Linked DNA regions of Caenorhabditis elegans. The protein of the gene in region 2 interacts with the protein of the main gene of each other region in a biochemical or structural test. Each region holds a gene or a part of one and is shown on either strand. Other genes may lie near its edges. The genes, in order: pdfr-1 and pdf-2.

Region 1 (5,012 bases), on a different chromosome or scaffold from region 2:
AGTCAAATTCCCATAATCAGGATTTCTCCGAATGATGGGGGAAATTGAATTTTTCGGATTGAGAGTAGGGCTTCTAAATTCTTTATTTGAATGGATGAATTAACACACACAAATTCTGAAGGAAAACTAACAACTTATCAGAATAAATTTGTAATATTACACAACTGCTTAAGTTTTATGGCTGATCTCATGTAATTGCAACAGTGCTTACACAGAAGACTCAGATTTTTCTCTCAAAATGCAAATGTCTTGTTTCGCGAGGTTTCGTTCAATTCAAAATTTTTAAACGGTACATAAAATGAATGATTAATTTTTAAACTTCTTATTTTCACGATTACCGAGTCTCTAAAACTATTTTTCCACTTTTCTCTATCTGTCTTCACTTGAAAAACGATTGAAGCCATCAAAAATCACCCAGAGAAACTTTCTTTTTCACGTTTTTCGACACATTTGCATTTTGATTACCTCTTCCTACACATGACCTATCTCTTTTCTCACACAAACTTTTTCACAGAAATCTTACATTTTCTTGCTCTCCATCTTTCTCTTCCTGCAAAAAACTAATTCTCTCCATCTCTGTATGTCCTTGTTTCTGGAGAACCTAATTTCCATAAAAGCCAGAAAATATTCTTCACTCTCTTTCATCGTCCTTATTTATTATCATTCAATCTTTTAAAAGTAAAATTATGTCGTGCGTTCACCTAATTATTCAGCTTTATTGCCCCCAAAGGCTCTTTTTTATGTATGTCGGAGCAAGTTTTCTTGACAACAACAAGAAAACACAATTTATGACTTGCTTGAATGTTATTAATTGAATGTTTGATTCTATTCTTGGGCGAATATTGCGGTACACTTTCTTAGAACCTATAATATTTTATGCATTCCAAAGATTTTGAGCTAATCTTGGTTTCAAATAAATAATAATGTTGCAAACCTTTTTATTCCAAAAAAAAGTAATATGTGAAATAATGTCAAGGTAAAGTTTGGCTTTTCGGTTTCAGTTGTAGAGTTTCAGTGATAATTTTTAGTCCAGTTAGAGTAGTTTTAAGTTTTTTCTACGCATTCTGTTTGAATTTAACTTCTATACATTTGGCATTAAATGTCATGTGAATTTAAAGCATTGATACAGTAAGATGTGTCCTTAAATAATTGTATAAAACGAGACAACTCAATTTCAAATTAGAACTGAATATCGTGCGTCCCCTAAAACCTTACATTAACTGTACAGTTGTGGAGCTTTATAAACCTTTAAACTTCTTTTTCTAGTTTAAGATATTGAAGAAAAATCACAAAAAAAATCTGGTGATGTTTTAGATGTCTTCAACTTCCACTATTTCTACTTCAATCTACTTGTTTTCAATAATTTCTGAGTTTTTCATCTCCGAAGGAACAGAAGGTGTTCCATAACTAATCAAACTTGACTTTGCACATTTCCACCATCATCACAAATATGATCGTCCCATATCTAATCAAATTGTGTGTGGGAAACTCCAACGAGTTTTTTGTGCCTATTTCCTCGTTGAGCAGCAATCCACTTGAAAAATCCAATCATCTTGGAGAAGTAGAAGACGAACTCGAATCCAATTCATGGCCCCGGGTTTTCACGTTGGTTAAACTTTTTCTCCTTTCATCCAATCACCTCTTCGAGTACGTTTCTTGTTCCGCGCCGCAGTTTTTTTTCATATTTGCTTTGGAAATTAAAATAAATAATTTTGATTTTTCAGGTAAGACCAGTGAAAACAAGACAACGAAGAATTGGTCAAACGTCGAATTGAAAAATGGTAAGTCGACCAATTATCAGATTTATTTTGGATTACACATGTTCTTCCGCTCTTTAATTATTTTCTTCTTGTTAGTCATTATTTAAAGTTCATTTTGTTTATACTCTTTCGCATTTCCCATGATTTTTGCAAATATTTTATTGAAGTTGAAAATTAGGGATTCCAAAAAACGTTTGAAAGAATAAACGACCTTGAATGGGTCTAGACAATTCATTTTTCTTGGATTGTTATTTTCGTATTAATTGAATTTTTACAAATGCTATTTTCAGACCAACTTGATATTTTTAGATTTTCTCAGTTTTCCGGAACATTTGCTATGTTTTTTGTCTGTTCAGTTTTGCTTTCATATGTATTAGCTCCTCACAACCGAATTATCAAAAAACTGTAAAAATAGAACATATTGAAGTTTATAGAAAATCGATGAACCATGTTTTTATTTTTTGAAGATGATACGATTCGTTATCAAAACTAAACCTTATATGGTAAACATTTAAATTTTCCTGTATACGTTCCTGCAATCTACCTACCTGCCTTCCTTAACCTCCCAACTTTTTTGGAGATTTGGTATTTGAATACTTTTTAATGTTGATTAATGATAGTAGTACTATTCTAAAGCTTAATCTTTTCTTGTAAAACAAAAACCTTATGACCTTTCTCATTCAATTCCTGTAACCTATTCTGCAGAATCCTTTTCCCTTGAAAAAATGAACATTTTCAGAAGGGTAGTTGTCTGTGTTTCTACTCTCCAGAGGATACCCACGCTGCCCCCGCTGTTAAAAAAAATATAGGGAGAAAGAGAGAAAGAGCAAAAATAAAATAAATTGGGCCAGAGCAATTTTCCATATCTTTTCCTGCCCCAGCGAGTCTTGTTGTTTCTTCTTTTGGTGTTTCTAAACACTCTAGGATTCTAGAGATTTTCAGCAGTTTGCAATCTTGAATTCTTAAATTTAACTTAAGTCTTGAAACAAAAACTTAAAAATTCACGGTCGCCTTCCTTTTTCTGTTTTTCTCAATATTTTCACTATTTCTGAAGAAATGACTCGTCGGATTCAAAGAGAATCTAAGAAAGTCTTGAAGAATCAAGAATTTCATCAGGATAAAAGCTGAAGACGTCAGTTTTATCTTGCTCTTCTTCATTGAAGTGAAAAGAGGAAGGGAAGAATGAGATCTGTAGAGTCACGTGATGGATGTTTGATATAAACTAATGTCTTCTGATGCTTTTCCTTCTTTCTATTCACTTTAATGATGGACCACTCATTCATGTTTCCTTAAAGACTTCTTGAAACTTTCTTGTTCCATCTACTTGATAATGACCATAGCCTTGAAACTAGATGAAAAGTCTTTAGAATTTCCTTCCAAACTTGAAATATCGGGAATAAAAAATTCACAAAACTTTTTCAATTTTATACATTTTAATTTTCAAATATCGTCTACATGGTTCCAGTGGGTTATAATATATTATAAAAAATTTTAAAATCCATGTATTAAAAAAATTAGAAAATACAGTAAAACGTACTTTTCCAGTGAAAGTGACAGAAAGGGCGCGAGGGTGGCGATGAAAGAGGCGGGTTAGATGCGTCGACGCCTCGTCGATGTAGATTGTCTGAAACGCAAGAGAATCTGGGTTTTCAATCTGAAGTTCTACAACTATTTTTTGCAATATTAATCTAGACCAAAATAGCAGGGTTTCATGAAGAACCATAAAAAGGATGCACTATGAGAATTTTGAAGTGTACTCCGTACTACAACTACATGACCTGATCTTTAGTGCAGTTAAAAAATATGAAAAACACGGAACAGAGTTCCTAGAGATGAAAAATGGTACCATTTTCGGCCATGATTTATTTTACGATCAGTTAAAACATTCCACTTGAGATAAGCAAAAATTATTAGTACTCTGTTCCAGAACACTTTTATATCTCATCTGAATATGCACCATGATTAGATATAAAATATATAAATTTTCTATGATCTGTTGTGAGATGGTCCCATCTCCCAATTATCTGGTACTCTGAGACACTCGCGAATACTCCCATCGTGTTCGCCGTACCAGAAAACCTATAAACCGCTCCTTCCAGTCGCTCTATCTCCCCCTTTCTCTAATCTAATGCGCGCCCTCATTTGAATCTCCCGCCAAGCTCAATGGTCTCGCAGCGAGTGTGCGCCGCGGGTCTCACCGCGCGCCCTCCTTGCTCGTCCTAATTCGCTGGCCTAAATTAGTTTCGACTCAACTCCCTTCACTCGTCTCGTCACCGCTCCTGCGGATCGTTCTTCTTTTATAATTATTTATCTTTATTTATTCCCTTAATAGTTTATCACCCGCTTTAGTGACTTGTATAGCAATCTTCCTATACGGAAGACGCTAACATCCGCTAATGACACGTTAAACTATTCCCTTATCGACAGTTCCCCTTCTTTCTATATTCTTTCGAGCTAATAAAGGGGGTTTCATGGTAACTTCTCGTGTTATATCGTTCACACCGCTTATCTCTCGTTCTTGCATGGCACTCCGCAACCGCCAGTTCTCTCTTAGACTTCTTTCCGGCTTGACCCCAGTGGTGGATCCCCAACCCACTATACTGGGCGGTCAACATGGAGTTGGACACCCATGTAGGTTATGAGTTTCTTACCTGGATAAACCGGTTTCGGAGCCATCTGGCGCGAGCGGTCGGATGATGATGATACATCCGCCGGTGCTCCTCTCTAGCTAGTTGAGTCAAACCCGCATGGTTAAAGCCCCCTTCGGATGCTATTCCCGATGTGGTTTGGTGAGTGCATTTGACTGGCTATCGCGACCAGCTCGGCATCAAGGCAGAAATTCAGAACACACATGGGGGGAATGGTTTTTTTTTATAAATTTCTTAGCCTTCTCCCAGTCACTTTTCCATAATCGTTTCCTGTTTTGCAATCTGAAACCTTTTTACGCAGAAAAAGTTTTCCAAGTACTTTGCTGACCAGAAAAGAAGCTTTTGAAACTCGAAAATACCTGCCCATTGCCAAAGTGCTTAATAACTTTTCAGTTAATTTTCTAAATTAAAATGATAATTACATACATTGAACAAACTTTGTGCTTCCTTGGAATTTAAACCCAAAACGAGAATAGTGCAGACTGTAAACCGAACCCCTAGCAAAAATTTTCAAAATCCGAAAATTGTTGAATTATTTTGATTGAGTTTGCCCTTTTCCGCAACTAAATTGAATTTTTCGACCCTTTTCTGTCTATGTTTGGCC
Region 2 (3,450 bases):
CCAAACTCAATTTTTCTAGCAAATCCCACTCATCCCTTTGTATCGTTAACTTTTTTCCCAGCCTATCTATTCCAATTATCATCTGTTGCTTATTACTTCTGCACTTTCAGATCACAAAACTAATGCAGAATAATAAACAAAGATCCTGAGATTATACTGATCAGAAAACAGGATAATAATTTCACTTTCAAGTTGACTGGTCTACCTAGAAGCTCAAAAATCACTCTGGAAACTAATTTTATCCAAATTGAAATATACTTTTTCATTAATTATTTATCAAGTTCGTATCAAATATTACATTAAAAGTCGTGTTCCTTGTAATTCTTTTTTTTCCAGAAGCTGCAATTTCTTGAAGACAACTAAGCGGAAATTAACCACTGGCACGTCATACAGGCCGTTGCTCAAGTACACAATGTTATAATTAACTTCGTTTGACTCATTTGGCATTCAAGACAGCATACTATATGCATTTTCTGACGACTAGCTCATCAGCTCTTCAAAATTCTACTGGCCAAACTTCGTGTCATTCTTGTCTGGCAAAATCTACATTTTTTAATCAAAAAGTAAATGAAATCGGATGAAAACATTATACGGATGCTTCCCTGTCTAACATTTCCAACCCTAAATTGAAAATTGGAACCATTCACATTTGCGTCGTTTTTCTCTTAATTCCGAATAGTCATCTAACTATAGTCGGACGAGTCATCTATAGAACTTCACTCATTAAGTGTTCCACTTCGTCTCATTTGGACATTATTTTTATTTTTTTGAATTTCGAAGCTAATGTTTTTCTCTAATAAAAAATGATGTTTGAAAATGGATAATGAATGTTCGCGGCATTTTAATACTAATATACAGTACAGTATTGTAATTTCAAAGAGGGTCTTATAGATTTTTGATGTTTTGGTTTAGAAAATAATATTTATAAAATTTCCATTTCAAAACTTTACAGAAAAGGTGAGGATTTACCAAAAAAAACCATAAGCACATACACTTTTTAGTCAAGTATTTTTCATAGGTGGTCACTTTATAATTTTCATCCGTTTTTTTCTCCTTTCATTTCAATTATGTAACCTAAAATTTGGAAGTCGATTTTCATAGGTTTCCCATTTAACTATTTACAATCCCATAATACACGAATTTCTTAAAATTTGATGATTTTTTTTAAAACAGAAAAATGGCTTTTGATGTTCGGTCAGTGCACTTTTTCTTCAAAAATAACATTTGAATAAAAATTTCCTCTTAATGACTGTCAACTTTCATAATAATTTATTGGGAGCTGTAAAGCTAAAATTTTATGTAATAATTTCTGCCTTGATGAATTTAATTACATAATAGCTCAGAGTTTCTCAACTCTTGATAAAATGTATAACCAAATCGGTGAACATCGACTAGTAAAAGTTCCAATAACCAGACAATGTTGTGTTGCCCTGTCTGAAGAATTACACTTTGATGATCATATATTCCTGGAATTCAATTCCCCAGCTCCATAGTTCAGTTGTTTTCATTCGAGAGACTTCGGAGCATTCTTTTTCTCGCAGGCAACTCATCAAAAATAATAATGAAAGCTGTAGTAACAACATTCTAATTACGGATCCTTGTGGGCGTATCCCCGCAGTAGCACATCTCTCACATTTTCCCGTAAACCATCAACTCTAGAAATCTTCTATTTTTCTCGTCTCAGCTCATTGGCTCAATCAGAATCTTTCGATTTCACGTATATGATTGGCTCAGCGCTCGAAGAAATTTGTTAGGGGGCGGGGCTTGATTTACATGATTCTCATATTTTCCCCTTATTCATTCACAAAGGTTTATTCTGAAAATCATTTTTTTTTTCATTTTTCACCTTAGCGTACTTTTTTATTACGAAAAAGTTTTTGGCATGTTACATGCATGAGTCAAATGATGAAAAACTACTGGATAAGAAACTTTTTTCAAATTTTCCTGCTCATTAGCCGCCCCCTCGGGATCGTTTTTTGTTGCATCGTGTTGCATCAGGTCATCTCAACTTGCTACTTTTTCCAGATGAGCTCTCGAATTTCGGTCTCCCTATTGCTGCTTGCTGTAGTGGCAACCATGTTCTTCACAGCCAATGTTGTTGATGCGACCCCAAGATCACAAGGAAACATGGTAAGTATGATACGATGGAAGAAAAACAAATATTTGAACAACAAATATTTTAAAACAAATTCAGATGCGTTACGGCAACTCTCTTCCAGCGTACGCCCCACATGTCTTATACCGTTTTTACAACTCAAGACAGGTGCTCACTACTTTCGTACTTTCAGAATTCAATAATCTGAAAATTTACAGTTTGCTCCAATAAACAAGAGAAACAACGCCGAAGTAGTGAACCATATTCTCAAAAATTTTGGAGCTCTGGATCGACTTGGAGACGTTGGCAAGTAAAAGTGCACACGGATCTGATAATTTCTAAAAGCACTTGTAGTTGAACACTTATTCACTTTTGAAAGTTGGCATAGTTTTTGAGACCTGAACAATTGCCAATTCTATGTTTACTTTTGCATTCCATAATATATTTTTCACCATTCTCTCAAATTCTCTGATTCTGACTGAGGCTACCACAAAACCGATTTATTCTTTGCTTTAATCGATATTTTCGTACAACTGTGCTGATTCTTTATGTCACCTGTGACACCGAAACCTGTTGAAAATAAAATGCTACTTGTTCAATAAACGCTTATTCAGTTGATTTTCGTTGTGCTGCAAAAGGAAAGACATACGGAAAAATGCAAAGTTTCGACAGGAACTCAATTCGTTAAAAATTGGCAATGGAGAAATTGCCTGTGAGAAAATTATTAAATATCCAAATAAAACGATTCTAAAAATTCTCGAAATGTTTTTTATTTTAAAGGTGGAGTAGCGCCAGTGTGGAACATGTTAAAAACTACACCTATGGTGAAAAAAACATTTCAAAATTTTTCAAAATTTTTAATTATTATATTTGCCTTGAAAGAATATGAAAGAATTTTAAACATTTTCCTTATTGTCGTAGTCCGCCAATAACACACTGACAAATTTGTTTATTGAGCAGTTGAAATGTAGTAGTTAACAATTTTTCAGATCACTGTTTCAGATAAATAGGTTCTGTAAAAAGTGGCTCAGAAATGTTTTTTTTTACATTTAAACTTGATTTTAAGATGCCGTGTAAACCTAAAAACAACTCGAGATGTTTTCTAGAAATTTTAATTTTCAGAAAAGAAACCATTTTTTCAGCAAGCTTTCTGAAAAAAAAACTCCTGCAATTTTCCTATTTCTAGGCACTTTTAAAATTATCAAAATCTGCAAAAACTCACAATTTGAGTATTTTCACGAGATTCTGAAGTAGTCAAGACAAAAACAAAATTAAATTGATGGAGTTTTCCTGTCTGTGAATCTCCATTTAGTTCTCACGTTTTACTGAAAAATTTTTTTCGAGAATGCATAATG

Evidence for each region.
Region 1: the proteins of pdf-2 (region 2) and pdfr-1 interact in a test that uses a peptide from one of them, tested with the Caenorhabditis elegans proteins (one large-scale study listed by BioGRID).

The regions. Positions count from the first base shown.
Region 1 is NC_003281.10:6,647,738-6,652,749, reverse strand, and holds the start of pdfr-1 (Calcitonin receptor-like protein 1), read left to right. Parts: upstream 1-1,724; 5' UTR 1,725-1,781; intron 1,782-5,012. UniProt on the Caenorhabditis elegans protein: G-protein coupled receptor for PDF neuropeptides. Plays a role in responses to environmental signals, including chemicals and touch, and in modulating locomotory behaviors. Capable of transducing signals via an adenylate cyclase acy-1 cAMP-dependent pathway.
Region 2 is NC_003284.9:2,161,359-2,164,808, forward strand, and holds pdf-2 (Pigment dispersing factor homolog pdf-2), read left to right. Parts: upstream 1-2,025; coding exon 2,026-2,130; intron 2,131-2,194; coding exon 2,195-2,263; intron 2,264-2,313; coding exon 2,314-2,409; 3' UTR 2,410-2,711; downstream 2,712-3,450. UniProt on the Caenorhabditis elegans protein: Probable ligand of isoforms a and b of the calcitonin receptor-like protein, pdfr-1, a G-protein coupled receptor. May not signal through isoform c of pdfr-1. Involved in locomotion; may play a role in circadian rhythms of locomotor activity.